4 linked regions of the Lepisosteus oculatus genome follow. The protein of the gene in region 2 interacts with the protein of the main gene of each other region in a pairwise test. Links are inferred from orthologs where the notes say so. Each region holds a gene or a part of one and is shown on either strand. Other genes may lie near its edges.

The links.
Region 1: the proteins of tax1bp1b (region 2) and CXXC-type zinc finger protein 1 interact in binary tests that used the Homo sapiens proteins (3 or more experiments, as listed by UniProt). The two-hybrid records come from large-scale screens. The link is inferred for Lepisosteus oculatus from reciprocal best matches to the Homo sapiens genes TAX1BP1 and CXXC1.
Region 3: the proteins of tax1bp1b (region 2) and gabarapl2 interact in binary tests that used the Homo sapiens proteins (3 or more experiments, as listed by UniProt). The link is inferred for Lepisosteus oculatus from reciprocal best matches to the Homo sapiens genes TAX1BP1 and GABARAPL2.
Region 4: the proteins of tax1bp1b (region 2) and lgals8a interact in binary tests that used the Homo sapiens proteins (3 or more experiments, as listed by UniProt). The link is inferred for Lepisosteus oculatus from reciprocal best matches to the Homo sapiens genes TAX1BP1 and LGALS8.

The regions. Positions count from the first base shown.
Region 1 is NC_090697.1:75,676,882-75,684,888, forward strand, and holds the start of CXXC-type zinc finger protein 1, read left to right. Parts: upstream 1-4,978; 5' UTR 4,979-5,187; coding exon 5,188-5,190; intron 5,191-5,878; coding exon 5,879-6,009; intron 6,010-7,347; coding exon 7,348-7,448; intron 7,449-7,984; coding exon 7,985-8,007. UniProt on the Homo sapiens protein: Transcriptional activator that exhibits a unique DNA binding specificity for CpG unmethylated motifs with a preference for CpGG.
Region 2 is NC_090705.1:398,527-406,541, reverse strand, and holds the start of tax1bp1b (tax1-binding protein 1 homolog B), read left to right. Parts: upstream 1-4,986; 5' UTR 4,987-5,075; intron 5,076-8,015. Other genes in the region: hibadhb (3-hydroxyisobutyrate dehydrogenase b), read right to left, coding at 1-64, 408-568, 2,911-2,980.
Region 3 is NC_090715.1:12,460,763-12,468,452, reverse strand, and holds the start of gabarapl2 (gamma-aminobutyric acid receptor-associated protein-like 2), read left to right. Parts: upstream 1-4,566; 5' UTR 4,567-4,737; coding exon 4,738-4,771; intron 4,772-7,690. Other genes in the region: carbohydrate sulfotransferase 5, read right to left, coding at 221-302, 1,179-1,322, 1,851-1,979, 2,440-2,606, 3,172-3,310. UniProt on the Homo sapiens protein: Ubiquitin-like modifier involved in intra-Golgi traffic. Modulates intra-Golgi transport through coupling between NSF activity and SNAREs activation. It first stimulates the ATPase activity of NSF which in turn stimulates the association with GOSR1.
Region 4 is NC_090697.1:11,728,267-11,735,590, reverse strand, and holds the start of lgals8a (galectin-8), read left to right. Parts: upstream 1-4,232; 5' UTR 4,233-4,417; coding exon 4,418-4,456; intron 4,457-6,106; coding exon 6,107-6,195; intron 6,196-7,324. Other genes in the region: rrm2 (ribonucleoside-diphosphate reductase subunit M2), read left to right, coding at 272-388, 529-662, 967-1,061, 1,172-1,305, 1,635-1,739, 1,825-1,938, 2,255-2,407.

The sequences.
Region 1 (8,007 bases), on a different chromosome or scaffold from region 2:
TGAAAGTCTCCGGGCTCGGACTTTCTGGGTAATGTCAGAGCGCAGTAAGAAAAAAACAAAACCCCACGTCTTTTACTGGATGAACTAGATTAATCACATGTGAGACGAGACAGTCGTAGCTCGGCTGGCGAACTAAAATGTCGACTCCGCACGGCGTGTTCAGAACACAGGAAAAGGTACAAATCAGAGGAGCCCAGTTTCCTAATTGATCTAAGGATCTCTTCCAGGTGTTTTGAAAACCACCGGGGCCTCGGCTTTAACGACACGGCTGGGGAGTTTGTTCCCAACTCCCACAACCCTGTGTGTAAAGACGTCCTTCCTGGCCTCGCTTTCAAGTGCTCTTCTGCGTGTTTGCGGTTGATCGGTCATTTTTTTTACAGTACTCGGAGCAGAACAAGACAGCAATTCCGAACTCTGTCCGGGGGATGCAAGACACCGGTCGACCCCAGCTGTTAATCAAACGCTGGACCTTGTTCTTGTTTTGTTTTTCTTTTGCTGAGGTAACGAATCGATGTTAATAATTACGCTTTGCTGATTTGTTCGGGAATAAAAATCACCAAAAACCCCGTGCAAAAAAATAAAGTCACATGGTTGGAAACGCGGTCTTAACCTTGACTAAAACACTCGTTCACCACAAACTGTAGCAGTGTGTCAGCGTGCGAACTGCTCGTGGGGCTGCAGACTGGGCTTCGCTCAGGGTATAAACTTCTCCCCAGCAGCGCTGTATCCTTCTGCCCCGGGCTCGTCCGTTAATACAAATCACAGATACTGTCCATCTGGCCCCTGCGAGTTACCCTGACTGTGCGGCGAATTCCATTTCCGCACGCCTCCGGACGAGCAAGCCACTGTCTCGGGCCTGAAGTGTCGAAAAGCAGGTCAGTGGGGGTATCCCCCTGAAAAACGGTCATGCACCGCTGGTCACTCCCGTGCCCCCGTATTCTGCCAGCCAGACACCCCGGAAAATCGGATCTGTTCCCGCATCAGAAAATATCCCCGCTGTGAAAGAACCGGTACACCTGACAAAGACGCGGTGTACGCCTCTACATGGGACAGTGTTGTGTGGCTTATAGACTTATAGACAGAACTGGGAATAACAGCTGTAGTTAAACAACAACAACAACAACAACAACAACAACTGTGACGCGGTCCGGTCCGGGTCCCGTCCCGAACGGACCCGTACAGCAGCAGGGCTTCTCGGCGGTGCCGTTGACGGGTCGCGACAGAGGCCTGTTCCGGTGAGGCCGGTGGAAAGAGAAACAACACGTCTAGACCTCGACTCGTTTTACACCGGTCCTGATTCACAGGGAGAGCAAAAACTCCACCACCGAGACCAGCAGATTCCTCGTCGCCTACAGAGACCGGCGGGTCACACCGCTGCTAATGTAGTACCGTTAAACACCGGTGAGTCTCGGCCTTCTGCGCACCCAGGACCAGCTCCCTGAGGTCCTCCTCATTTCAGGACCGCTGAGGTAACAAAAAACGAATCAGTGGTAACGATTTGACATTCATCGAAGGTAATATTTTGTCATTAATTAAAGGTCAGATTTGAATAACATACCACTGATATCCTTCATGGCCCCTCCGACTCTAAGGTCACCGTGCGCTCGGAACCAGGAATGGAGAGACGTGCCATTTCTACACGAAATGACGAAACATGACAGGATTTTCTCCAAACACCCCCCCCCCCCCGGCAAGGCCGAGCGCACTGCCCGGGTCACAAGCTGCGACGTTGGAGACTACAGGCCGCTGCTGTTCACTGAAGAGGGCACTAACCGAGCGAGGGGGGCGCAGGGAGGCTGTTGGCACCCGGTGTAGTCCAGCCGCGTCCCTCCGAAAGGCGCGGGTAACACCGGGTTCGAGGTCCGTGTCGAGAAAAATGTCCCTGAGAGCGACACCCGAGCACAACCCGCGGAGACCCACATTCCGGGTCCCGAACGGACCGGCGCTGACCCCCCTGTCTCCGGGCAGCGGGAACCCCGCCGGGGAATTGATGACTCATTCTAGACAGTTAAGTAAGAACTAGTTTTTTTTTTCTCCTGAGAAAATTAACCGATTTAAGTGGGAATCGGCGACTCCCCGCTGAAAAGCACAAACCGAGAATCCCAATTTGTCCCCCAGGAACGCGACTGACTCAACCCCACGAGTTTTGACCCAACAGAACAAGCGTTTGTGGAAATCATTTTCTATTTACTCGTGTGCCAGGGTAGTATCGGGTCCCCGGGCTGTTCCTCCGGTGGTTAAGGCTCTATGGAAGATTTTAATAAGAAACCATATTCCTCTACACACAGGGAAGCTGGCATTTTAACGTGTTGCAGCATTTTCAGTTACAGCCGACGCTTAGGGCGAACATGTACAGTAAGTACGCCCGGAGGAAATAATGTTTTTTATTTTATTTTTAGATTTTCTTGAAGTGTCAGTTCCAGGCATACTACGTTCACTTTAAAAACTCAAAACGTTAAGCTAAACGACATTTTAAGAAAACAAACAACATATATAGAGATTGTATAAGAATGTATGTCTTCAATACTATAGATTTAAGGTCTATTTGTTTATGACTCTTTTGCTGATGATCCTATGACAAAACGCCCAAAGATTGTGTATCTCAAAAGGGGCTATATAAAATACAATTATTTAGTATCAAGTTATGATGCACAATTTACCACAGTCAAGGCTGACAAATATGACAGCTAAAATCTCTGTAATGTGTTTAATCTGTCGCGCGTTAAATCCGTAAAACATCACGATCTTACCTTAGCGTAATTAGAGCCAGTCTTAGACCGTGGAAGCGTCTAACAGCGGAGGAGAAAACAGGACGAATTGTGTTTCTTGAAAAACGAAGATTAAGGAATCTGAGCGGTCAGTGCCACGTCCGGTGTCCGCGCGGTTAGGCGCCAGATGAAAACCGTCCGAACAGGTTAACTGTTGTGTCCACTCCAGGCGGCAACCAGAACTTTTTACAGAGCCCGTCCCTCTCTCACACACACACTTCCACACACACTATCGCTCACACACACACACACTCTCTCGCACACACACACACAGACACATTCTCCGACTCCTCTCCCTCTCTCGCTCGGCGCTCAGATTTCAGATTCAAATTTAAACTGCGGCTGATTTCTCACGATCCGCTTTAAAGCACTGCTGATTTCTGCACGACACACAGCAAGGACTGTAGTCCATCATTTCGGAAAAGACAGCTTTCTGTTTTGAATCTTCGAATTCTATTTATTCATCTTGGTGGCTACAGGGTTACAGTAAAAAAACTAACAGTGGAATAACCCAGTTCGTAGGAATTATATACAAGACTGTATCTTCACTGCGGACTCAATTTGGAACTTTATGTGGGTCACAATTCTTGAACTGACGTAAAGGTGTTGTATTTACCGCTTGTACTAAATGTTCAGTAACCTACACATCGCGTAATGTAACAATATTTATTATAAATAAATATTAGTATTATAAATAAATACTATACATTTACAATTTACAGTAATATGTTGAACAGTCCTGTTACAATAGGGGCTACAGTCCCAGTACAGTAGAACAGTCCAGTTACAATAGGAGCTACAGTCCCAGTACAGTAGAACAGTCCTGTTACAATAGGGGCTACAGTCCCAGTACAGTAGAACAGTCCAGTTACAATAGGAGCTACAGTCCCAGTACAGTAGAACAGTCCAGTTACAATAGGGGCTACAGTCCCAGTACAGTAGAACAGTCTGTTACAATAGGAGCTACAGTCCCAGTACAGTAGAACAGTCCAGTTACAATAGGAGCTACAGTCCCAGTACAGTAGAACAGTCCTGTTACAATAGGAGCTACAGTCCCAGTACAGTAGAACAGTCCTGTTACAATAGGGGCTACAGTCCCAGTACAGTGGAACAGTCCTGTTACAGTAGGATCTACAGTCCCAGTACAGTAGAACAGTCTGTTACAATAGGGGCTACAGTCCCAGTACAGTAGAACAGTCTGTTACAATAGGGGCTACAGTCCCAGTGCAGTAGAACAGTCCTGTTACAATAGGAGCTACAGTCCCAGTACAGTAGAACAGTCCTGTTACACTAGGGGCTACAGTCCCAGTACAGTAGAACAGTCCTGTTACAATAGGGGCTACAGTCCCAGTACAGTAGAACAGTCCAGTTACAATAGGGGCTACAGTCCCAGTACAGTAGAACAGTCCTGTTACAATAGGGGCTACAGTCCCAGTACAGTAGAACAGTTCTGTTACAATAGGGGCTACAGTCCCAGTACAGTAGAACAGTCCTGTTACAGTAGGGGCTACAGTCCCAGTGCAGTAGAACAGTCCTGTTACAATAGGAGCTACAGTCCCAGTACAGTAGAACAGTCCTGTTACAGTAGGGGCTACAGTCCCAGTACAGGAGAACAGTCCTGTCACGGTAACAGAACAGTAGAATGGTCATACCATACACAAGAATAGTACAAACTGTTAAATACTTTCAGATGGAACTCCAATATGAAAAGGCGTCTTTGTATAAGCACACAAACAAGCAAGAAAATAAATCTAGAGCTGAGAAGCAGATTTTTAGATTTGCGTTGCATACTGGGATCCTAATAAAAAGGAAGAATGCTTATGATAATTATTCACCTTCCTGTCCTTCTGCTCATTAATGTGCTTTAGTCTACTCTGCACGCAATTAGCGTTTATGTTATGTGGTCATGGCCGCCTGCCGGCTGTCCCAGGCCAGTGTCCAGTCCGACAGCTCGGCCGAGCGGAGGCGACCAGGTGGCGCAGCCTAGCGCTCCCGCAGGCTCTGGTATCATACACCCTCCGGCCACTAGAGGGCGGTGTTTACCGCTGCCCATTCTTCATATAGAAACATAGAAACATGTTCATTCGTCATAATAGAAATCATAAACCACAGTCTGTAAAAAAAAACACATTTTTTTCTCCCCTTAGGAGTATATTCTGTTGATATAAGAGACACCAACGGTTCTCCAAACGAGCAGTCTGGCAATACGTCTGTGTGGGGAGACGGGTGGTTTGAACCGGAAGCGGAAGTCAGGAGGCTGTCGGGACAGCCCGTTTTGTGTTTATTTTGAGTGAAAGGGGGGGATTTTTGCGACGATTATTATTTTTTTATTGGTTATTCTTTACCTGCTAATAGCCTTACTTCATCATTCTTACTCTTTATCCGAAGAAGGAAGAGGCGGCCGTGCGTGTTTCCTGCGATGGTGAGGTGGTTGAGCTTCATAGTTTGAAACGATTCGTTTCTCTGTAGTTACAGCTGTGAAAAACACGTTTCTTTTTCCGCTCTTAAAGCTAATCTTTTTTTTTTACGTAAAACGACCAGGTCGCCTTTCTTCGTTAAATGTTAAATTGGAAAGTTTCAACCCGTCTTGAAAGTAGATCACAGCATGACCGCAACCGGGGAGTCCTTTCCTCTTGAAAATCTGTATTATACGTTAGTGCCCGTGAACGCATCGCTCATAGATTTGCATTTGGTCTCTGTTTTGTTTCACATTTAGAAAAAAGGTCGTGCTTTCGGATCAGATATTGTGTTCGGTTACTGTTGGCTGCTGTGATAGGCCAGTTGGAACGGTAGCATAGCAGTTGGAAGCGATATTTAGCTGAGCGACCGAACTGTTCACATTTAAATAACTGACAGACATTAGAAACAAAGTAATGTTAGCGCTTGTTTCGTGTGCAGTCAGACAGGTGGTGTGATGCTGTAGCCCTGTAATTGTTCACCCGTCACAGAACCGCGAGCAAAGAGCGCTGGTAGGCTTTCTGCTTTAGGGGGCTCTGGTTTGCTCATGGCTGACCGTTTGCAAGAGCACTGGCAGCCCTCTCCCTCGGTCTCACGGCGGTGAGCGGCCAGGGGAGTCCAGCGCGGTCACCTGTCCTCCTCTCTCCCTGCAGGACAGCGAGGTGTCGGATCTGGACCAGGCCCCCGGGGCCGAGAGCAGCATGGAGGGCGACAATGGGGAGAACGGAGAGAACGCGCCGGTTTACTGCATCTGCCGCAAGCCCGACATCAACTGTTTCATGATGTGAGAGCCCGCCGCCGCCCGCAGCTTCCTGCCTGCGCCCCAGCTCGTGGCCTCTGGGCGTCACCGCCCGACACTCTTGTCACCCACACAGCCTCGACGCACCCCTCCGCCCCTCACGCTGCACAGCCTTGACACAGCCCTCTGCCCCTCACGCTGCACAGACTGGACACACCCCTCTGCCCCTCACGCTGCACAGACTGGACACACCCCTCCGCCCCTCACGCTGCACAGCCCTGACACAGCCCTCCGCCCCTCACGCTGCACAGCCTCGACGCACCCCTCCGCCACTCACGCTGCACAGCCTCGACGCACCCCTCCGCCACTCACGCTGCACAGCCTCGACGCACCCCTCCGCCCCTCACGCTGCACAGCCTCGACGCACCCCTCTGCCACTCACGCTGCACAGCCTAGACAAAGCCTCCCTTTTTATTTTTCAATATCTTAGGAAGTCTAGAAGAAACATAAACTTGCGAGTCAATTTGTGTTGTTGTTGTTGTTGTTGTTAGTTGTGCTTGCTGAGATTGAGAATTCAAAATGGGCTTTGTTGGCGAGGTGTGTTACAAGGGTATTGTCAAAAGTTTTGAACAGCTATGGAACAGTTTATAACAGAATATTGGCCATGTGCACAGTGTTAGAGTGCAGGTCTGTACAGAGGTTTCCTGTACGACACAGCTTGGTACTGTGCACTGTGTCAGGCAGGGGTCTCCAAGCCTGGTCCTGGAGAGCCCCAGTCAAGTAGTCTTTTAGGTCTTTAGACTTTGGTAACATTAATGTAATAATTAATCAGTTAACAATACTGTGGTCCGTGGAGACTGAGAGAAACGTGATTTGGTCCTATATTATCTCAAAATGTCCTGCTCTATTCATTACTGTGAAATTTTGACTAATCTTGAGAAATGGGTGACTTAGCGGTGACCTATAGAGTCTGCTGGCCTGGGTGACCAGGGTTCGTCACCTCTGGTGTAAGGGTTTGAGCTCACATTTTTGTTTCTGACTGTTGCACTGGTGTTTTCTTCTCTTTTCTTTCTCCTGTGCATCTGGATTGCGTGTCTGCGTGTCCGTCTGTGTGTGTGTGATGGCTCTGTGTGTGCACGTGTGTCCGTCTGTGTGCGTGTGATGGCCCTGTGCATGCACGTGTATCCATCTGTGTGTGCCATGCGTGTGTGTGCACGCGTGTCCATCTGTGTACTTGTGATGGCCCTGTGTGTGCACACGTGTCCGTCTGTGTGCGTGTGATGGCTCTGTGCTTGCACACGTGTCCATCTGTGTGCGTGTGATGGCCCTGTGTGTGCATGCGTGTCCATCTGTGTGTGCCATGCGTGATCTCCTCATCTGCAGCGGCTGCGACCGCTGTAACGAGTGGTTCCATGGCAACTGCATCAACGTGACGGAGAAGATGGCCAAGGCGATCCGGGAGTGGTACTGCGGGAAGTGCCGGGGTGAGGACCTGCCTCTCCTCTCTCTGGGGGACTCTCCCTCGGGGAGCAGCCTCGAGGCTCAGGCGTGTCGGAGACCCTTGTGTGTAGTTCAGGTTCCCTGTGTTGTGAAGTCATGGGAAGGGACACGGCTGTTTTATCCAGGCTACAGAAAGTAATTTAGAAATCCGGGGCTCCAGGCTGGATGATTTTTTTAAAACGTTTTGGTTGTGTGTTACTGATTGTTCAGAAGACACTGTGGGGAAACAGACCTGTCTCGTATTGCACAGCAGGTTGGTCCATTCCGGGTTTTGCTGTGAGCTGCAGGCCGATCTCAGTGTGCGAACCGCACAGCCGGTGCCGAAAGGTAGACGTACGTTAACGTCATGGCGTACGAGCTCGTTCTTTCTGAGGTCACGGGCTGGAAGTGCAGCTGTTGCTGTAGGTCCTGGTGAAACCTGGACTGGATCACGCTGCTGTCACTGGTCAGCTCTCTTCTGCCTGACTGCCTGAAAGGAGGGGTGTCGGTCAGTCAGTGTGACCCTGTCTCCCCTCCTCAGAGAAGGACTCCTCCCTGGAGATC
Region 2 (8,015 bases):
TGGAGGGCAGCATTGTGATTATTCTGTCTGCTTTGTCAGCTACTTCAGCTGGAGAATCGAGGATCTGAAGGGGGACAAAAAGGCAACAATAAATACAACTTGTTTCTTTTAAAAAAATAAATACAATCACTAAGTGCTTCTCACCTTTAAGCGCTTTTTGTCTCACGTATAGAAAAATATACATATTATTTACATTTAAAAAGAGAAAACATGAATTGCGTAACAAAAATATTAATATCAGTCAAGAGAACGAGAGAGAGAGAGACCTGAATGGGTCAGTCTATGGATATGTCTAAAAGATAATTGAAAATATTTGTTCTATACAGTGAGGCATAGTTTACAGGCTTCAGATTTTTAATTATCATCACGCAATTTTGTGATGCATTCAACAAAACCGCTTGTCTCACCTGTGCCCCCATGTCCTGTATTTCTTTGCAGGACTCTGGGAAAATGTCCGAAGCGATGACCGGATAGCCGTGTTTCAGAAGGTTTTTTGCCATGGGATCCCCCATATTCCCCAGCCCAATGAAACCAACTGGGGTTTTAGAGGCCAGGGCCCTCGATGACACTAAAACAGACAGACAAAAGCAGAAGGTGATTCTTCTGAGGGATGGAAGGTAGATCAGAGCTCTGACACTGGCTTGGCCCTTCAGGGAAGGATCCTCTCAAAATGAAACTAGGAGCTGGTGGAGTCTGGAGTTGATATCTTGGTTTCTTTCCAGAAACGCTGGATGATGTTCAGCTGAACAGCCTTTCCCCCAGTTTGTGACTTCTCTCATGTTCTTACCTCATAACTATATATATAATATAATCCACTGCTTAATGCAATATAGTGTTCTGCTCATAGTATTCAGGATTGACATACTGTAAGAGTATGAAATTACAGAGAAGTCTGAGCCAAATGTCATTATAAATATAGTGTAGTCATGTGGAGAGGCAGTCCAGTTACCCTGCCTGGGAGAGTTCCAGCACTCTGCGTCAGCTGGGACGTTACACTGTACTTAACAGAAAATAATGGTCTACAAACCAGCTTATGTACAAAGACTTGAAAAGCTTCAATTTGTCTAACTCAAAACTTGTATAACTAAAATCTGTCTGGAGTTGCATTTTAATATTATGTCGATGAATAATATAATCGCACAAAATCCCACTGGCTCTTCTTTACAGTTCTGAGTGGAAGACTAGTGCACAACGAACAACTTATTTGATACCAACATAATTAATTCCACAGTACCTTATAGCATTATTAAAAAGCACTGAAATAAAGACATAAAATGACATGCATTTTGACTTCAAATTACACTTAAACTATAGGCCTGCAGAGAATGTAGAGCTGATACCCCCCAAGACTCTTTAGGACCTGTCTGAAATAAACATCTTTCACCTTTCTGTCTCAGTCTAAGGCTCATACTCGGCCATTCTTAACTTGTGAGGGCTGTCTCCAAGTCAAAAGAGCATTTCTAATGTCACCATCAACTGCTTACTCAGGGAGAAATACCCCTGGCCCTCATGCTATTTTTAAACCATTTGAAGCACACAGGAGCTTGCATAAAGACTTGAATGTATTCTTCATAAAAGCATATTATTGGGACTCACTCCTTTTTAAACATGAATGGTGTTGATGGAATTAGAAAAGGAAATGTTTCTTCACACGGACGGGGGAGGGGAGGACAGAACAGACTTTCTGCTCAGGTGATTCAGAAACCCTGCTCTCCTTCAAGAAGCAAGTGAACAAATTCTAGACTCTCTGAACTGGCAAGAAGGGCTGTCTTGTATTTGCAGCCTGTTGTGCATATTGACCTAACCTTGAACATCTGATACGCAAGCCAGCTGCTGACACTCCTTGTACTTATAACAGGTCCCAACATCACTTGCTGCCTTTTTTCTAGAAACCCCAGCAGAAATGCAGATGGCACATAGCCATGACATCATCATAGGCTTGGTATGTAAAGGAATGTCCTTTTGCTGAGCACCATGGCAAAGTATTCATGCTTTTCCCTAACATACTGTGCATGTATACATGCTTTATTCCTTCCACATCATAAAGCAGTCTAAATTGATCTCAATCTAAAACTATTCTTGATGCAAATACTTTTTCAAATAAGATCTCTAATCTTAAAATGTACTGTAGGAAGTGATTTATATACAGCACTAACATGTTTGTTTGCACAGTAATTAACTCTTTAAAAACAGAATCATCCTAGTGATACAAATTACAGAGCTGAGAATAATATTTATCTTAGTTACATGTGCAATTACAGCAAATATAACACTAAAACAGGATATTTTAAACAATGAATCAAACACTTTGATTCCAACTTTTTCTTTAGGTGTTAACTTTGGCTTGTGAAGTTGTAAGCTTGTCTTTAGAGTAAAACATTTTCCTAGTGACAGGGAGTTTTGTAAAAACAGGATTCTAAAATGTACAGAAAATCCCATATCTTCCAAGACAGAGCAAACTGGTAGTGGGGGAAAAAAACATCCTGTAACATTCAGAGATAAACCCATACCTGCTTTTAACAGGTGCTTTCCAAAACTATAACAAAATACACTTAAAATGTTTTAATTTAAATTTACCTCAAGCCTGCGAAAGCATCTTCACTAAAGGACCAAGGACCTTTAGTTAAGGACTAAAGGACCAAGGCAAAAGTATTTTTGCTGTATGCTTCCCTTGCGAGAGTATTTGGCTCTGAATAGCATGCCAGCATCGATCCCGCTTATCGATACTACTACTGACATCCGCATCAGCGATTGCCAAGCGATACCGGACAGAAACAGATGTTACTATCTATATCATTAAGCTTAAAGGTGCTGCAATGCATAAGCTACAGATCCCACCCCTCCCCCGACCCACAATAGCCTCGGAGAAGGACGAAAATTGAATATATGCAAACGTAAACAATACGTTACCCAGTGCCAGGCCCACATGCTGACCAAAGCTTCGCAACAAGTTCCGAGACCCTCTAACCAAAGCGGCCATGTTTCCTTCCCCTTGACCTCAGCGTCGCGGTGTCAACGCTCGAGTCAGGAAGTGACCACGGGGGTGGATGAGAGTGACACCGCCTTCAGCCCAATCAGAGGCAGGGTTGCCCACTATAGCCAACCAGAACCCGGGAGGGGCGGGATATCCTATAGCTTATCTTTGGAGCCGTGCGTCTTTGCGGGAGTTGCATGTCTGTAGAGTTTACACATTCAGGTTCGAAGCCAATTTAGAAAAGACAATTAGATGGATTCAAAGAGAAGCGGTTTAATAAATAATACCAAAATTCCACCAATATTAAATTAATTTACGAGGTTACCTTTCAGAGAGGTCTTACTTGGACTGTAAAGTTGTTGTGTCCTGTCTCTGGCTGGTACAGCGATTTACACCAATTTTTTTTATATCTGTTTTTTTTTTTGCAGGCAGAATACGGAGTTCTTGTATTATTGGGGTTGCATGGCATTGAAGAAACCCAGCAACAGGATATTATTATCAGGGACTTGCAGGATACAAGTACAATAGCCAGCAGCCATATCACCCTGCAGCTCACAACTAGCAACCCACTGAAACTAAGCAGGTGTGAACCTGGTCAGTACCTGGATGGGAGACCTCCTGGGAAAAACTAAGGTTGCTGTTGGAAGAGGTGTTAGTGGGGCCAGCTGGGAGTGCTCACCCTGTGGTCCATGTGGGTCCTAATGCCCCAATATAGTGATGGGGACACTATACTGTAAACAGGTGCCGTCCTTCTGATGAGATGTAAAATTGAGGTCCTGACTCTCTGTGGTCATTAAAAATCCCAGGGCGTTTCTCAAAAAGAGTAGGGGTGTAACCCTGGCGTCCTGGCCAAATTTCCCATTGGCCCTTACCCCTTACCCATTGGCCCTAATAATCCCCATCTATGAACTGGCTTCATTACTCTGCTCTCCTCCCCACTGAAAGCTGATGTGGGTGAGTGTTCTGGTGCACTATGGCTGCTGTTGCTGTCGTGGGAAGGGGAGTCCCCATTACCTGTAAAGTGCTTTGAGTGGAGTGTCCAGAAGAAGCACTATATAAGTGTATTATTATTATAATATCATCTCAGATAAATGAGATCTCAGTACATCTCATCTCAGTCCATACCATCCCAGATACAATTTCCAGTATGTTGCAGAACTGGTCTAATTCAGTTTATTGCACATTGCTCCAAAGCTAAATTGGTTAGACCAGGTACTCTTCTTCACTCACCTGTCACTCATGGCCATCATAATGAAGTGTGGGTATGATGCCTGACGCTGCCTTTATTCCTTATTCATCATCCTCTGAAGGTCAAGGTGACATTAGACCAGTAGTGCTTTATACTTAAGTATGAGTCCAGATTTAGCACAGGACATGTGGACAGTGTCTTTTGTTGTTAACTAATAAAGAGCAAATGAATGGTTTTGTCTATGTGCAATGAAAACAGTTTTTGTAAAACAGCTTTATTAAAATGTTTCTGTAAGTCTCCATGCCACCACAGTTATTGAGTGATGTGATGATGGCATGAAATTGTTTTTATAGGATTTTAAAATACAGTTTCTATTGAGTTTTTTTTAAGATTGTGATTAGACATTTGCTGTACTGCAGAGATATTCTTTCTCCGTAGTCTGGGTAGGATTGTCAAAACCTATGTTTTTACGTGGATATTTTGGAAGATTTGAGGAAATATAGAGGTAAATTGAAGGATTCATTATCTGGGATTCAGGATGATGAGAGAAACCCAGGATCTGTTTCTCACAGCAGGACAGAATAAATCCTTAGCTTTAAATTTCTTTAAATTTAAAGTTTTTAGAGTGGTGGGAGTGTGGAACGTGCTACCCACCCGTGTTGCTGAAGACGGTGCCAGGCGAAGTCTTTGGATCAAACAAGTTTTTGCAAATAAGGGGGTTGGAGGGTGAATGACCTCCTCTCATTTGTCACCTCTCTTATGTGCTTTTGAAATAAAGGCACAGATGCACAGTCAATAACTTTACGCCTGCGCAGTGGGCAAGGGCACCGATCCCGGAAGTGACGCATCGCCCCTCTTCCAGGAAGAAGGGCAGCGGCGACCGTAGAGCTGCGTCAGTGACGGTTTACCAAGGTAACTGGGGTTTTACTTCGATTTCACATGGCGAACGGTTGTTGTGTGGTTATTCGTTAATGTAGTTGTGTTCTGTAACGATTATTAGTGTTAGTCCTTTTACGTGGCAATGTAAAAATTGTGTGGGATTTGGGTTACGTTATCATTCCCAGTCCAGCAGTGACGAACCACAGGCTTAGCCGTGTTTAAATAACAAGCAGAAGGGGAAGAAATTGAAGACAAACGTTTTGGAGCTCAAACTTTGATTGTAGTTCTGCTTGGGTTGCGAAGGGATTTTAATGTTGAAAGTCAGTATTAATGTTTCAACTATCGGACTATGGACTATGGATTCGGCCGTAAGGCCCTTAGGAACATGAAATAAACTTTTTATTTCTGCCCACCACTTGTATTGAAAAAGAAACTAAAGTCGGTTGTTGTCTGTCCTTGGACCGTTTGGTTTCGATATTTGTTTTGACCTTTGAGTTTAATTTTGTTTTGTTTACATCCATCGATAAGCGATCCGAGCATGCTGGCGTGTCAGTTAACAAGCTTTTTTCAGGAGGAGACTGGACTCCTAGATTAGTGAGATGTTTAATATCTCTTCAGGGTGCGTTGCTTTAACAGCCTCGGTCGCTGTGGGACCCTGCTGTTGTTGATGTTCGGTAGTAACGAAAAGTACGAAACCCCAACAACTCGAATAACGAGTTAATAATAATAATTATTATTAACTCGTGAGCGTCTGCGGGTCGTGACGACGCTGTGTTGGCGGCTGCACTGGCCAATCGCAGGCCAGAGCCTTCAGTGGTGTTTACCTAACGGGAATGTCAACAGTGGCCCCGGACCAATAGGGGGGTCCGGGGGGCGGGTCCGTCGAGTCTGAGCGAGTCAGGCTGGTGTTGCTCATGAGCGTCTGGGAAATTCTGTTGGTGATGAACTGTCATGATCTGCACGACTGGGGAATTTCGGCAGCTCTGTCGGCGAAGGTTACACAAAACCTTTGAAACCCACCTCACCCCCCCAATCTCTCGTTTCTGTCTGCGTGCCATTGTACTGTAAAATGAACGTGGTTTAATAGTGGACGTTGTGAACGATGATGCTTTTCAACTGATCTTTCGTTTTGAATCGCACCTTAAGCGTTAAAGCCTTTCATGCACATAAAAAAACCAAACGGTTATTTTAGTAGTTACTAAAAGTCTTTACGTAGGCAAAGATGTTTTATGTAGGCATTTTTATTTTTTGTAATTGGTTTCTGATGTTCCCAGCACTGACGTCTCGGCACTTAATGACTTGTCAGACGGATTCATATTTGTGATTGTTCACCTTTGCCCGGTGCTGGTAGGATTCCTGGGAAAACAGCTGATCTAGTCCTTTACGGTTTCTGGCTGAGTTGTTTTAAATTGATCCTGGATGGAAATTGTGCTGTTTAATCGGGCCCTACTTGTGCCAACGTGGCCAATGACAACCGAGTTGTTGCCAGTCCCAGCTAGGAGCCTGTCGACTCTGAACGATCTCATCTCCAAGCACACCACAAACTGTTGTGTCATGGTCTGTGTTGGAAATCTGAGTTGCAGTGTAGCAGATAGGGGAGTCTTCAAAACCACCACTTCTCTTTATGGGTTCTTTGAATTCATTTTATAATCACTCTGTTTTGCGAAGTACAGTCCATGGAATGATACTGGTGTACGATAGGTTCTGCAGTTGTGTGATATGATAGTGTGATGAGTTGTCACGTGATTAAACATTGAGGACAGCTCTGTGCTTTATCCTAATTGAGGAAGTGAGACCTTGCTGGATGAATGTGACTGCAGGTTGCAGAATGAGTAAATTTCTTAAATGACATGATTCTCATTTGGTACAATGCAAGGCTTACCTTTTATGAGTTTGTATATCAATTCTGTTATTAATTTTAGGGTACAATTAGACAGTGAAGGATTCTGCTCTGATATCTAATATCTGTGAGCTCTTTTTACAAAATAGATCATGAAAGCTTTGTGTTAGATGGGGATGTTTTTCATGGAATGCTAAACTGTTAATTGCTTGGAGATGACAAAGTAGATTCTTTGGGAAATGAGTTCTGTAGTTCTACATGGGTAAAGTACACCTAGTTTACAAAAATGAAACTCATGCGACTGGCCTCTAGAGATAAGTACTAACCAATGAAGAACATCAGGAGAGAGTCAGATTTCTGTTCTGAGCTGCTTTGTAACTAGACAACATAACTGCACGCAGGACTCTGCTTTGATGACAAAGATAAACTGTCATCAAATTGCACTAGATCAGAACACACATAACCTTCAGGATCGAGGTCACACAGATGTCTTCCTTTGAAAATCTAGTCAGCCCTTTTAAAAAGCAAGATTAAAAAAAAGTTCTTTGCTCATGAAATCTCTCATGAAAGACCATTCACATGGACATTTAACAGCGGTGACAGGACTTGATTCCATCAAATTGATTCTGACTGAATTAGGTGTGATCATGAAACTGATTTAGCTTACTATGTAAGGAGGTCTTTTAACTCTCATCTAAAGAAAGAAAGTCTGAGAATAAAAAGGCTCTTCCTGCATATCCAGTCTTTCCTTTTGACATGGAACAGTTCCTTTATGTCACTGAACTGTACAGCTAATTAGCAGAGATCTGCACGGCTGTATTGTACTTGCCATCTGTTTCTCATACCATTAGTATCTGAGGTATCTGAAAAAATATAAAATATCCTTATTTTTTTTGGTAAGAATTAAATGGAGGTTGTGAATATTCAGAGCCTTGAGTACAATGGTAACAGGTGAAAGAATACTAGTAACTAGTAGCAAAGATGGTGAAGTAATTTCCACTGCTTCCCATTTGCTGGACTGTGCTGTGTGTCCACACCCCTCCTGTGTGCGTTAACAGGATCTGAAGGATGAGAGCCGAACACAGGAGCCCTTCCTCGTGGGTTCGACACAGCAGCCGACAGGTTTTAAGACT
Region 3 (7,690 bases), on a different chromosome or scaffold from region 2:
GATAATAAACAATAACAGTTTTAAAATGCTTAATAGCTGTTACACAGCAACATAAACCTGTATTTATTTTAAGCAGCTTGTATTTTTATATTTTACTGTTTTGAGTTTTTTTACAGAAATCATGAAGTCTTCTGACACATTTATGTTATTTAATTTTTTGGTTTCTACCCATAGAACTGCCCAGTATTAAAAGTAATATATCTTCCACACTTCCACTTACCATTTCTTTCCTGATATGAGCCAATGATGTTAGTCAGATCATAGGCACTTGCAAAGGGGCTGTTTCCATTGATAACAGAAACCTGCAAAAGAATAGGAAGCTGTATTTTTATAGTGTCATGCAAGGAAAATAAATACTATCACAGGAGGAGCAGGTGAGCATTACACACAGCAAAACAACTTACTGCTCCACCCCAGACCAGGAAAGGCTTTTTTCCAGTCCTTTCCTCCAGAGAGCACTGGATGTAGGCCATGCTTCTTTAGAGACAAAGTAACCCACTTGATTTAGAGCGTCCCAATTCTTTTTTCTTTTTAATGTGAAGTGTCATGGCTCTATTTCATGGCACCAATTACAAAAAAGTGATTCAAGACTGAAAACAGCGGGCATGTCTTTATGCAGAGTGCGGGAGGTGTCTGAAACAAGCTGCTCAGACCGTGCTGTGGAAGTCAGCTCCCTCGGATCCTTCAAAAAGCAACCAGATGGGAGTCTCAGGTCAATACATTTCTAGCAACTAGATGTTCATGACAAGCAGAACAGTCTCTGCTCGTGTGTAACATTGCTTTTATGTATAAAGAAATATGATTTTTTTGTTAAAGAGGAATCATAGAAAAAATGACAGAAGAAAAAAAGAGGTCTTCATTGGAGATCACAGCGCAGCCCCATACTGTCAAAATACTGTCAAAAGCAGTATGGGGAAAAATCTGTCAAACAAAATAGTTCTTCTATTGAACCAACCCTGATTTCATGCTGGACCAACTCTGTGTCCATGCTGATGTACCTGCCATCATCAGTGTAACCAGGACCCAAGGCGTTTGCCTGTGGGAATGCACCCTGTCAAACATATAATGTTTTAGAATGGTTTTACTTTTATAGAATAACATAGAACAAGTATTAGCCATCTGGAATGCAGACATTTCCCAGATTACGTAAAAAACAGCACACATGAGCTAATTCTTACATTATAGGTGGTGTCAAGACCTCTGTGCTTCAGTGGCTGCCTTTGCTGCAGTTTGAGGTCCCCACTGACAAAAAGTTGAGACCCTGGAACAGACGAGGAGTGCTGGATGTAGGCCATGCTCTGCATGATGAAGGTGGACATCCTCTAAAACACAAGCAGGCAATCTTTTACTCTAGTGGTTCATTTCAAGCAGGCTGCTAAACTGACATACACAGTGGCTGTACAGTGGGCTCAACAATTATTGGCACCCTTGAAAAAAAGACTAACATAGATAGCCATATAAAATAAACAGCACAGATAATGACCTGTATTTTATAAAACCCCCAAAACGGGAAAACTACAAGCTTTTTTTTCTAATACATTTATTTCAAAACAAATGTTTTTAAATGAGTAATACTATTTTTTTCCTCAAAAACATAGGTGTTAAAATGATTCGATCCCCAGTTGCTAGTTCTTGATGCAACGTACTCTGGCACGGGTAACAGCACAAAGCCTTTTCCTATAATGTTTAATAAGGCTGGAGACCGTTCTTCTTATGCAGGAAGTCTCCAGGTGCTGATGTCCTTGGATCGATTCTTACAGGCTTCCCTCTTCTGCCCCCAGTTTAGAAAAGACAAGACGAGACCTAAATAGCTGTTGAAAGAGTGAAAGCACCAGGTGTGGGTGACTTACGAAGAGCTTGTAGGAGAAGGTGAGAATGAGCTGAACGCTGTACACCGGCTCGCTCTGCCGCAGTGGGAGCGCCAGACGAAGGTTCAGCTGGTCAAACTTCCCATCCTGATTCCGGTCTTCCTCTCTGGCCTGACGACACCGGGGACAAGTTACCTCCCTGCCGAGCTAGGCTGCACCCCGGTCCACCCCTTGCGAGATTTGACAAAAACTCCCCCAACCAAAAATACCTGGTAAATTTCAGCAAAGAAAAGCTTGATTTTTTTTTTAGATTATAATGTACAAACACTGTAATTGCAACTTCGCTGTTTCCTGGGACAGGACTGTCCTCCTTCTGTCCGCTTTGAAGAGGCCAAATCCATAACCTCATTCAACACATGTTGAGCGAATGGCTTATTGATCAGTAATTTCCCTCAGTAGTGGAACTCCATCCATTCACAACTGTTCAACGAGATCACTCTAACACTCTTACTTTTCTAAGAATGTAAATATCTGACACTCTCGATCACACGCAGGCATTAGGAAATAACCTGAATAACTATGTTTTTAACTTTCACCAAGGCTATGAAGGATCAGAGGGGAGGATACTCACTGATATTGAAGGGATTCTGAGGTTGCCACCCTGCAGATTGTTGAAATTTTGAAATGTGCTCCAGGCTACATAGTCTCCACTGGTGCTGGTTGCAGCAATTAACAGCACCTGGTACTGGAACGTGATGCTGGGTTGCTCCTCATACGTGCTGGACTTTGTCCAGAAACCTGTAAATAAAATGAGAAATAAAGTCTCTTTCCGATCAGAAGATCTCCTAGAGATAAGGACGTTCTATAAATGCCACCAAAGTGGAACCGGGTACCAGATCATACACTAAAGTTGAAGAGACAAAATCGTTTTTTTCTTACAGTCATGATAAACTCTCAAGGACGAAAGATAGTTATAAAAAGAACTGCGTGCAAACCTCGCTTTGCATATCAGTCTACTTGTTGTACCGTGGCATTGAGTTCTTGGCATCTGTGTAACTAAGGTATTGAACAATACAATAGTCGCACGGTAAAACGGTATTCGCTACATAATAATGTTAGTTTCTAAAAAAGCACAAGATCATGTCACAAGATCAAGTGCCTTGGGACAACCTTGTTGTGAAAGGCGCTATATTAAAATGAATTGAATTGAACGTCCGTGTAGTACTGACAGGGCCACAATAGACATAGTCGAACCTACATCGCGGCTGTCTTTGAAAACAACACTACTGGAAGAGGCAGGCTGGACAGACAGTAACCATTCATCAAAACAACAGTCAAAACCTCAGCATAACGCTGTGCTTACCTTGGCTTCTGTAAGCCACCAGCAAAGGAGAGATGTAGGTGAGACACAGGACGATTATTAGGAAAAGCGTGGCTTTGGTGCAGATACTGGTCTTGTACCTCAGTAAAGCAGGGTGGGAGTAAACTTCATAAATGGCCATGGAAGATCGAAACGTGTTCGTAAAAAAGCAAAATAAAAAAGGGGTCGCCTTTGAAACTAGCTAAACTTTATTCCACAGACTTTCCGTTCGTTCGCCTTTAAATCACAGCGATGAGATGAGCGGGGTTGTTGCACTCGGAACATAAATAGTTTCTCGATTCAAGAAGGCTCCTTGATTTTTCTTAAATATCGAAATTCGCAAAAGCTCAAAAACTAGTAAGCAACCCCGCCCCCAAAGTATTAGCGTTCTGACTATTTCTAAAAAACGCAACAATACAGATCCCTTCCAAAATCGTGAAGCTGAAACCGAAGGCCGCACTCTTTTCACGCACTTCCTGAAGTTTGGCGTCTGCGGGTTTCCATAGCCCCCCTGTTCCCTAGCAACCGGCGGCGTTTTTTTCCCCCCACTACCCGGATGCAGCAAGAGAGGCTAGAAATATTCTACTGTATTTATCCTCACGGGCAAACCCAGCTGGAGTAATTTAAATACCAGACCTCCGTAGCCCATCCAAAATATTATCTTAATATTACGTTAACGCCACAGTTGTTCCGACTTTCTTCGCTTTATTTTGAAAGAACAACAGAATTTGACACCCGAATTCCTGTTGGTGTAAATGAATCAGGGGATTGGCATGTTAACGGTTACAGAAACGCTTGCAATTCCCCAGAGCGGTGCTCCCCTAAATACAAGAAATACGGGACCTTTGAGTATCACGCGATATTAGTCACAGCCCTATCGAGTTTTATGCCGTGCTCCTACCAGCCTGTAATCTATTTTTAGGGATATTTGTAGAGGCGATCTCGGGGGCTGTGGTTGTGTACATTAGCTCAGCTTTCAGGGAACCCAGAAGCCGACCTATGGGAGCTATCTTTTCTGAGCTAATTCTTGCCAGTCTATTCATATTTTGTGCCTTTAACGACATTTCCCTTACCGATATTAAAACAATCATTAGGAAAGCCCCCCAACTATCTACATCCCATCCCATATGAACCCCCCCAGTCCCACCAGAAGCATCAACGTTTATATACAGAAGCGATACTACACGGTAGTAGCATCTTTATGGATTGTACTATTTCGTCACTACAGGCAATATATGCAATCTCTGATGAATAAAACAATTTGGTTGTGTTCCACAGATTATATCAATTTGGGTAAAATATTATTCTGGTGAGTTTATCAATAATGATAAACTAAGTGTATCCCCATCATTTAAAACCGTTACCCCTCCGGGTTGCCAAATGGATCCATCCGGCGGTGACGTCATCGCAGGGCTGGACTCCGAAGGCTAACCTTGTTTTGTTACATTGTTGCTGTAATAGTTTACCCCCTTTTGTTTGTAAAGAAACCGAAAAAAAAACCCATAAACGAAACCGTTGTTCTCTTTTTCTTTTTCTAAGCAAAATAAGCGCCATTTGGAAGTTGCCAAAATGAAATGGATGTTTAAAGAAGACCATTCCCTAGGTAAGAGGTTTTGTAGTAGACGGGGGAAATGCTGTGTTATGGTGATGTTTGCTTTCGCTTTCTCAGGCCACTGTGAGGATGGCTTTGCCGTGTCAGGGCCTGGAAAAAGGGTGACCTGCGCAGAATGTTTTTTTTTCCCCTTTTACGGGTTTTAATTGTTTTTCGGATTACGTCATACGTGTCTGACAGCACATTTTCTTCATATCAGAACACATTCGGGTATTTGGGGATTTTCTCTGGGGTGGGGAGGAGCTGACCGTAATATCTGGGTGTTGTTTTCTTCTGCAAAGACTGTATTTTGACGACCACGGGACAGCACTCGTTTGTGTCGCTTTGCTAAGGACGTGACAACCGGCACATTTCGCCCATTCCAGCCTTTCAGACGAGAAACAACCAGAAGCTCGAAACTGTGGTTGATGTTGAGATATTTTCTGTCCCGTCAGTCTTCCTTAAATTCAAATCTAAAACCCGAAAGCAGCCAGGACGTTTCACATCTCATCAATACGGTACAAGACCCAGGTATTAATTTCTCGGTCTAACCAGACGCATACCATGAACTCTGCAGGGTAGTACTTTCTAGAGTAACAAACAGAAGTGTTTTAGAAATGACACTTCAGTTATTAACAGTATTGACTGTGGTCAGATAGATATGACTGCAGGCGTTGTTTTTTTTACAAAGCCCTGTCATTAACTAGGGCAAAGACTGCGGTCCCTTTCAACACACGAACCTGGGCCGAAATCTCTAAACGACCTTAGGGCTAAACTGGTTTTTGAGGCCTTCAGTGACGTCAAATTGTAATATTTATAACTAAGAATAATAGTTGTGTATATATATATATTTGTCGAACCTTTTCAAAGGGCTGTATCGCCCTCACAGTGTAGTCCACAGTGATGTCTGCATAAGAGGTTTGAAACGAGAGAGGCCATTTGCCTGATCTAGCTGGTTTGGAAACCAGTAGCAAATTGATCACGTGATCTCACCCAGCCCCTTCTTTAAAGAAGCCGAACATCGGGTACCTTGTCCCAGACCCCCGACAGCACATTGCGTTACTGGTTAATCATGGAATTGTTAAACGCAGCAAGAAAGGCAAACGGCTCTGTGCTGTGATCCATGAAGAGTGGCAGTTTTAGTAGGTTTGGCTATTATTTCAGCACCGACACTGTGAAGGTTTGAGCAAAATGATAGATTCCCCGTGTTAAGAAGGTTTAAAACGAGTTTAATAATTGCAAAGGCATTAATACCTTTGCAAAATTCTATTAAAAGTAAGAGTGTTTTCTTGTGGGGATAAACATTGCTAAGTGACACGATCTGATATGTGTAAAAGGGAAAACATTAACATTGACAGTAGTCTATATTTTTTTGTGTGCGGGTCAGGAGAGAGGCTAGTCTTTGTGTGTTTATCCACTGTGGTTCATTCGAGACATTCTCATTGCAGCAGAACAAAAAGTTCTTGTTTCAGATCAGCAAAAGCATAATCTGCTTGGATTAGTTTTCTTTCGGGCAGCTCAGAGATTAATCTGATGTCCACATTTTAGATCACTCTTTGTTCTAGAATATTTAATGCAGTCAATTCCTTCCTGTATGATCTATTAATGTCTTCTAAGTTCACAAAATGAAGAAGCTATTTTTTTTTATCAGATCCCTATGACTTGAAGTACTAGTTGCAACTAGTGGGTTACATTTTCAATTCAATTGCAATTAATAGTTGCCATTGTATTTATACTGACCTACAAGAAACACTTGAGTTCTGGTTGATTTATAGGTGGTCATAAGTGGTCCGCTGGCCTGGTTGTATAGTGACAATTGAAGCACTTCAAATGAAATCTGTATCTAATTGCAGAACATATCTTAAATGGTGTGAAGAATCCACTGCATGAATATGATTTGGGAAAATATCCCCTTTATATAGAGTTCATAAATAGGTCAATTTGAATTATTCCCAGCCCTGAATTCATGAAGGGCATTTAACAGAAGATGCCTAACTTTCACCAAAATAAATTTACATCGTGATAAAATGAAATATCAGTCATGTATTGTATCTTTCCGACACAGCACCTCATTCATGTGACTGTGATGATTATCTCTAGAAGAGCAGTAATTTAGTGCAAGTAAAAATATTCACAGTTGTGCAATGTGTCTTCATTTTTAGCTTGCTAAGTATTTTTATTTGCACATTCAACCATTTCTGTCTGGGCATATGTATCACACCAGAGAGTTATGTGGACTTGTATTTTGTTGGCATTACAGGGCTGCACGTTCAGTTAATTACAATTGGCAATTTGCACTCACAGTACTAGTGTACAAGTGTAAAAGGGTTATTAGGGTAAAAATCAATGCAGTGCTGCTTAGATCAATGAACAGCTCAATGCTGTCTGAGGTGGGTATTCATCACACAAACACGCAGGTATGCAAGTGGGTTTTAACTGCTTGCAATGCACAGGCTTTTATCAGTTTAATCAGATATCCATTTGCTACTGTACGGTAGGAACAAGTTAGAAATTAGCAACCGTTTTATCTACATTCCAGTTTGATTAAAAGTTCTGAGAGGATGTCTTCAGGTTTCCCTTAAACCCCTCATGTCATATTAGTCCACGTTTTTGTTTTTTTACAAATTAATCATTCTGCTGCATTTTGGCTCCATTAGAGGGAGTCTCTGAAAGGAAGCTTAAACATTATTATTGCTAAATTGGCTGCCAGCTTTATCCAAGGTGACTTAAACCTAACAATACAATTGCATTGATCACAGTGGAACAGCAGATACAAACTGCATAAGGGGAAGAAATCGGTTTTAAGTAGGGGGTCTAAGAGAAAGAGGATACTATGGAAATCTAATGTAACTTTAGTGAAATAGAACCAGGATTACAGTTACAGTGTTAGAACTATTTGAGATAATGGGTTGCACTAAGCCCGGACACAAT
Region 4 (7,324 bases), on a different chromosome or scaffold from region 2:
TTGAGCTTAATAAACAATTCTTAAACTTGTGCTTGAGTGGGGGGGAAACTTGCATTCCGCAAAGAGGGTGTGACCTACAGTTGCAGGCAGCAGTGGTGCAGTTCTCCGTCTCTGATGGTATCCACCAACTTAGTCCCATGTGGAACTGCTTAGTTCACCACGAGTATACGGACCCCTTTCCTGGCAAGTGGTGTAGGAATGTGATCAGTCTTCTGCAGCTGTGTCGTTCGAAGGCCGTCGAGAGGTGTCTAATCGCCTGTACTTTTGCCAGGTGGACCTCTCCAAAGACCTCAAGCACTGGGAGTCCCTGAAGGACGAAGAGCGGTACTTCATCTCCCACGTCCTGGCTTTCTTCGCCGCTAGCGACGGCATCGTTAACGAGAATCTGGTAGGATCCACAACCGCACCCTGCTCTAGATGTTTTGTTTCACAGTTGGCATTTTTCATATCGGCAGGAAATGTCTGTAAGTGCGTGCAGACCCCAGACCAGATCCTCCTGTTTCATTCAACTCTTTCTCCCCCCTCCAGGTGGAATGCTTTAGCCAGGAGGTTCAAGTGACTGAAGCCCGTTGTTTCTATGGCTTCCAAATCGCCATGGAGAACATCCACTCTGAAATGTACAGCCTGCTCATCGACACGTATATTAAAGACCCCAAAGAGAGGTCAGTACAGCTCTTGCCTCTCCTCTGGTACAACCTGCAGTTGTACACCCAAGCCAGAGTTATTGGGCTGCAGTTCCTGCTGATGCTGACCCATTAAACAGGCCACACAAGCCCCAGTTAGTAGTTAATTGATCCCAGGGTAGCTTGTTTTATACTCCACTTAATGACCAAAGTTGTGCACTGTTATCAGTGACACTCCAAGCACTTCTTGCTTTCAGTTGCTCCCCATGTTGACCTAGAAGATGTAGGTCAAAATGTGCTTTTGCCAACTGGTCTTGTATTGAAGGTTTTGTTCTTTTTGCAGGGAGTTCCTTTTCAACGCCATTGAGACTCTGCCCTGTGTGAAAAAGAAGGCTGATTGGGCTCTGAACTGGATTGGAAACAAAGATGCTGTATATGGTATGCAAGGTTTATTGGGAGACGTGCCTGTTCTAGCACAATGATCTGCCTTAAACTGTCACTTTTCACACCTGTCCAATCTCATTGTTTTTTTTTTTTTCCCTGTACAGGGGAGCGTGTTGTGGCCTTTGCTGCAGTAGAAGGTATCTTTTTCTCTGGGTCATTTGCTTCCATATTCTGGCTGAAGAAGAGAGGCCTGATGCCAGGCCTCACCTTCTCAAACGAGTTAATTAGCAGAGATGAGGTGAGTTTTTTCTTCCGAGAGCCTGTTTATTCCCCCCCAAATCCACAACCATAATCTATATGCGTATTCCTAGTCTATAGTGACATTAGCATGCTTATATAGGTCTCTCTGTTCCTTCGGCTTTGCTCCTTTGCTTCTGGATTATGCATAGTTATTCCGACCTGTGAGCTGTCGGTTAGATGCCTTTCTCAACAGTGGTGCTCTGCCTAATTCAACCTGCAAGTTTCTTTTTAGGATTCCAGACACCTGCTGTACAATAGCACACAAATTGTACTCCATCCAATGCTAGCAAATGAATCATGCAGTCTTGGTTTTTTTTTCTCTCCTAGGGCCTTCATTGTGACTTTGCCTGCCTCATGTTCAAGCACTTGGTACACAAACCCTCCGAAGAGAGAGTCCGTGAAATCATTGAAAATGCCGTCCAGATAGAACAGGTGTGTTCCCTTCCGTTAACCCGGGCTGGGATGTTATTTTGTTCTGTTGGCTGATCCCATGTGTTTTTTTTTTTTTATTGTATAGGAGTTCCTCACTCGAGCTTTGCCGGTGGACTTGATCGGCATGAACTGCACTTTGATGAAGCGGTACATTGAGTTTGTGGCGGACAGGCTGATGCTGGAGCTGGGTTTCAGCAAGGTAATTCCTTCCACTTGTCTAGTGCTTTACTGGTCATTTTCCGTTGCGAGTTGCAGGGTGGTATGGCTGCTGACAGCACTCCTTGACTATGAGGAGCTGTCTGAAAGCTGCCCTTAACAGGTTTTGGCACTTATTTTGTAAATGGCAATTTGTGTCATGATGTAAAAGTCTGTTTTAACCCATTTTACAAATCTGGGTAAAAATTTACTATTTGTTTGCCAGTGTTTACTGCAGTGCTCAGTTTAGCTTACTAAACTTTAAAGCTCGAGTTTATAGCCTTATGCTGCTCTTCAGTGAAGTGCAACTGTCTCCACAGATCTACAGGTCTGAGAATCCTTTTGACTTCATGGAAAACATCTCCCTGGAAGGAAAGACCAACTTCTTCGAGAAGCGCGTAGGGGAGTACCAGAGGATGGGCGTCATGTCTGCGCCGACGGACAACACGTTCAGGCTGGATGCCGACTTTTGATGCGGACGAGCGCGATGGGTGATGGGACTGTATGCATTAGCGCATCCACAGAGACGGGACCGATGCCCAGAGACGCCTCTGTTCCCGTATCGCTTGTGTGTTGCCGTGAAATAGGCCACTAAAGCAGACCGTTTTGCACAACCTCCCTGGAAACGTGTCAAAGGGATTCAATTGTACAGTTTTTAATGTTTTATGTAAATGGTTATAGTTTTATATTGGCTTTATAATAAAGGCTGTTTAGAAATTCCTTCTGGGTTTAAGGATCTGTGTCAAGCCTATGCTCCTTCCTCAAGGATACAGAGGAGGTTCTGTACCTGACTTTACTACACTGTGGTTATAGTAAGAACCTTTCAGTTTAACAGGACATGGGTATTGGGAGGGCTAGTACACACCAGTTAGTACAATGCAGTGATGTTTTGTAAAACGTCTTGCAGATGGGAGTATCGGCTCCACTTCTTCCAGTGGAGCTGATGGCAGAGCACCCTTCCAAGTCTGTAGTAATAGTCCTGCCACTCAAGGCTCCCAGCACTCCCTCCTTCTAAACAGTCTCCGTTTTCTCCACTTGTACCGTCTTGCCTGGTCTCTTGCCTACAGGAGGTTCCCAGTAAGAACACTCAATGCTGCTTTTTTATTTAGGCGGTTTACTGCAGCCTTCTGATCCACTGTGGTCTCGGATCTATGCTTACCACTTTGTGCTCTCAAACGTGGCAAAACAGGTGTAACATCCTGCACTGCTTCAGACTTTACAAGTTGTATGATGACTAAATCTTAATCTGTCCTTCGCCTCAACCCAAGAGCTTTTGCGCTAAGAACTTGAGAGTTTAAAAGCAAGTATATTTTAGCCTCTGGGTCCGTGGAGTGTGGTTTTTGCAAATCTAATCCATGAAGGAATATCCAGTTGCAGAGCAGTGATTGTGTTCCACTGCTGTGATACTAGAAGTGTAATTGGTTATGGTAGTACAAATCATGAAAGTTGTTTAATGTAATTCTGGGTTTAGCTGTAGTCCCTGATTTGGGGACTTAAAGTACTTGGGTGCTGGAACCCCTTGAGTAAGCAGGGAGCTGTCTGAGGGTGGGATATAAGTCAGCTGAATAGAGGGAGAAAGAATGCTGTTGCACTGCCAAGGAGATGAGCAAACCCAGGGTAAGGCTCATGGTTGGCCCACACACGAAGGTTTTCTCCACCCAATTAAGAATAATCAATTAAATTCGGCCGGGCTCGTGGTTTAGCATTTCAGGGGTGTTTTTTTTTTTTTTCACAGATGTGATTAAAACTTAGGAATGTTAAGCGGAAAGTCGGAATGAGATCTTGAAAAGGCCACAGTTCTAGCCCACGATGTATGGTATGAGGAAGCACATTCAACCAAGCTTGAACCTCTACAGTAAAACAACTTTGTGGGTGTTACTTCCTGAACAGTAACTGTCGGGATGGTTCCTGACCTGATGGGCTGGGACGTGAAGCAGTTATGAAGGAAAGATGAGTCTAGCAAAGACAGGGCTGGGACTGGCCTTTTGATATTTAAAATACGAACAATATAACCAGAAATTAGGGATCCAGGGAAGATTTAATAGTCAATTTCATCGATTTAAAATCAGTTTGCCGGATTAATCACCTAATTTTCAAGTACCGACATTCGTTTGAACATTTCTGTAGACATGTTTGGATTTGAGCAAACCAATAGCATTCCTATTGTTTGAAAGCATTTTGAGAAAAAGAAAAACACCTCACGTTTCCTTTCCAGACGGATGTGTTTTACCCACAATCTGATTATTCAAGTGCAAAGCCACATGGATCTAAAGCTCATTTTCGAACAGCACGATCACATGGTGACATCTTCCCAGCATCAACAACCTGCCAGGGAGGACCTTCAGCCACGATTGGCTGATAAAATTCACTCCGCCCTCCAGGTCTGCGAAAGAGGAAGTGAAAATAAGGCGGAATTAAAATTGCGTGCAATTTCGTGATATAAATCGCTGGACCAGGGCACGTATTCACTCAGGACAGGAGTCATGTCTGTTACGAGTCCCAGGCAAACGGTTTTAAATCCGGTAAGATCTCTTGCACCGCACTGCGGGTGTACTGCACAGCACCCAGTGCCTCACAGCTGCCCTGTGGTCGGTGACGCGCAAATGTCGCTCTGTTCTTTCGTTTTGGGACCGCCGGGTGTGCTGCACAATGTTATATATTTTAAAATAAAATTAAGAGAGATGCTTGGCGAGATCGTGTCGCGTCGGGCGCGCCGGCCTGCGTCACTCGAGCAGACCATGTTGTGCGGCATTGCTGTGGAGATGAGCTGAAAGAGACGATTATGGACCGAGAGATAAGAGTCAGACCGTGTTCTCCCCTACCCACTTCACTCCTCAGCAGAAAAAGAAGTGGAAAGTGAAATCTGTCTTGCTTCATGTATTAATGTTTGCTGGAAAGAAGTAAATTCTGTGTGCACCCCACACCGTATTGGGAGCCAGGTCATTAAATGAGGTGAAAATGCAGTAGATTTAGTAGTGTCGCTTCTCTAGATTTACCGTAACGCCTCTTTAAGTCGTCGGCTGGTTTATTTCCAGTTTGCTTTAATTGCATTGGCTAAGTCGTGGTTTGCAGTTTCGTTTCTGAGTTAACTTCTACTGCATTGATTTGAGAAACCGCGACCAGCTCATCTGCGCTCAGTCTGTATAGAGAAACTGCATTATTGCCTCTTTTAACATTCGGATTAAAATGGCCATTTTTCGTTGTACCTGCCACTCATGTCAGTGGTTTTGTAACAGTTTAATGTATTACAGACACTACAGCAATTATGGGGTTTAACGCATATTTATTTTCATTACAAAATGTTACTTTAAAAGGCTTTACTGATAACACACTGTATAACCGAATAATAAAACAATTCAAACAGTATAAAGCACATCAGACATAACTTATTATACATTAATTATCCAAATATTAATGAATTAATCAGATATGAATTAAATTACTCTTTTGAAAAGTAATCACGCGATGGGAGTTTCAGAAAGGTGAATTATAAAAGAATAGCTAAGATATTTCACCAGACATATCTTATTTGGCTCGATTTTAAGGTCGAAATAGAATTTATTCATGGGAATTGTCTTTCAAATTCGGGGCTGTATGAAATTAGCTTTCTGAGATAATGGATACACAAGAGGGTGTTCTGATTGGTAATGTAGCAACGCCTTTTGCGTTTAACAGTTCAGACCGGAGCAAGTCCATGCTGTCGGTGACAGTCACCTGAGTCCTAGAAAAGAAACTAGTTTCAAATTCCAAATGATCCCAAGGCAAAGGCGAGCTTCAAAATAACGTTATATACTCAATTTCATTGTCTTTAAAAAGAAAAACATGAGGACAACAAAGAAATGAATTCAGTGAAAATACATATCTCGGAGTCTGATACAATTGTATTTGACGTTGCAGAGCTTTGATGACCAGATGTGTATAGAACAGTTGATTCAACAGGGTGGAATTTTAATTTTTAATGTGAAATTCTTGAAACAGAAGTCAGGTGTCATCAGTGCCAAGTAAAAACCGAGTTTCACAGCACTCACAGAAAGAGCCCACAACAGACAAGAACCCTTTGAAAATATGTGCTGACATGATTTAATTATTGGTAACACGAATGTTTAAAATTGTAACCATTGGATGAAGTATTGTGGTATGAGCGTAAGATTGCGCATTCTGTGTCATTATAGGCAATTCCCTATGCTGGGACAATACTGGGGGGACTTCATCCTGGTGATATGGTACTTATCCAAGGAGCAGTTCTCAGTGATGCTGACAGGTAAGCATTTCTTTTGAGGAAATTTAGCAACTAGTTTGCTTACAGAAAGTCCACACTGCTCGCAATCCATGATTGTTGCCATGGAGACTTCTGAAACCCCTTGTTAGTATCAATCATGAGAAGCTGCTGGCAAATACAACCTTTTATCACCAGATAAGAATCTGAACTCAAAATTAATAGAGATGTTTTATTAGCTGAATGTTTGCTCTTTCTAAACTGAAAACAGAATTAGCTTGGGACAGAGACAAAGGTCACTTATGTGGACTGCTTTTGCAGCAGACTTCAAAGTAAGTATTAAAATTCACTAATTCTTAACATCTTTGTAGGACTGGCCTGAATAAAAAGGCAAATTTAGTTTTCTTACGGATTCTGGCAGTGAACTCTCAGTGATTCATTGGTCTCTGTCACTCAACAGAGAGCGCAGTTCAGCGAATGACACTCGAGTGGCAAAACCAGGCGTGTGCATACTAGTGGCACATGAGCTGTTCTCTATCATCCGTCACAGGTCTGGTGATGGAGTAACAAAATCGGAGTCAAACTTGACAGGACAAATATTTCTTAACAAAACAAAACACCATCTGTACGATATGCAACGTTACACAACATACACCAGTTCATCGATCTCATGTATTTAAAAGACCACGTGTTTCAAAGGCTAACGTCTTGTAGACCTGGAAACAGGGAATTCTAGCCCTGTAATCTGGAATCAATGCCTAAACGGACCAAAAAGAGGAGAACCCAGCATTGCCTGGAACTTCTCAGAAATAAATCTTCCCTTTTATGACCATGGATATGCAGAAGTGGGAATCATTTCCACAGTCATTTCAATGAATCGGAATCATTTCCTGTTCTAGAAATGCATCGCCCAACCGGGAGAGAACGTTTTTAGTCCGAGGATTCCACAATGCAGGAAATCAGAATTTCCCAAAATAACCGGACAGCAAGATCTCTAAAACAAAGTTCAGATAGCTTATCCAGAGCCTGGTCTCCAAGAGTCATCGTAACAAGGTCCTCTCACATGACACAAGCTTCGAGCGACAGGAGGGTGATGGTGTTGTTCCTGTGTTCCTTTGATCGTCTGTGTTTACCTTCCTCTTAGCTCACCTTCAGATAGGCAAACACTGCAAAT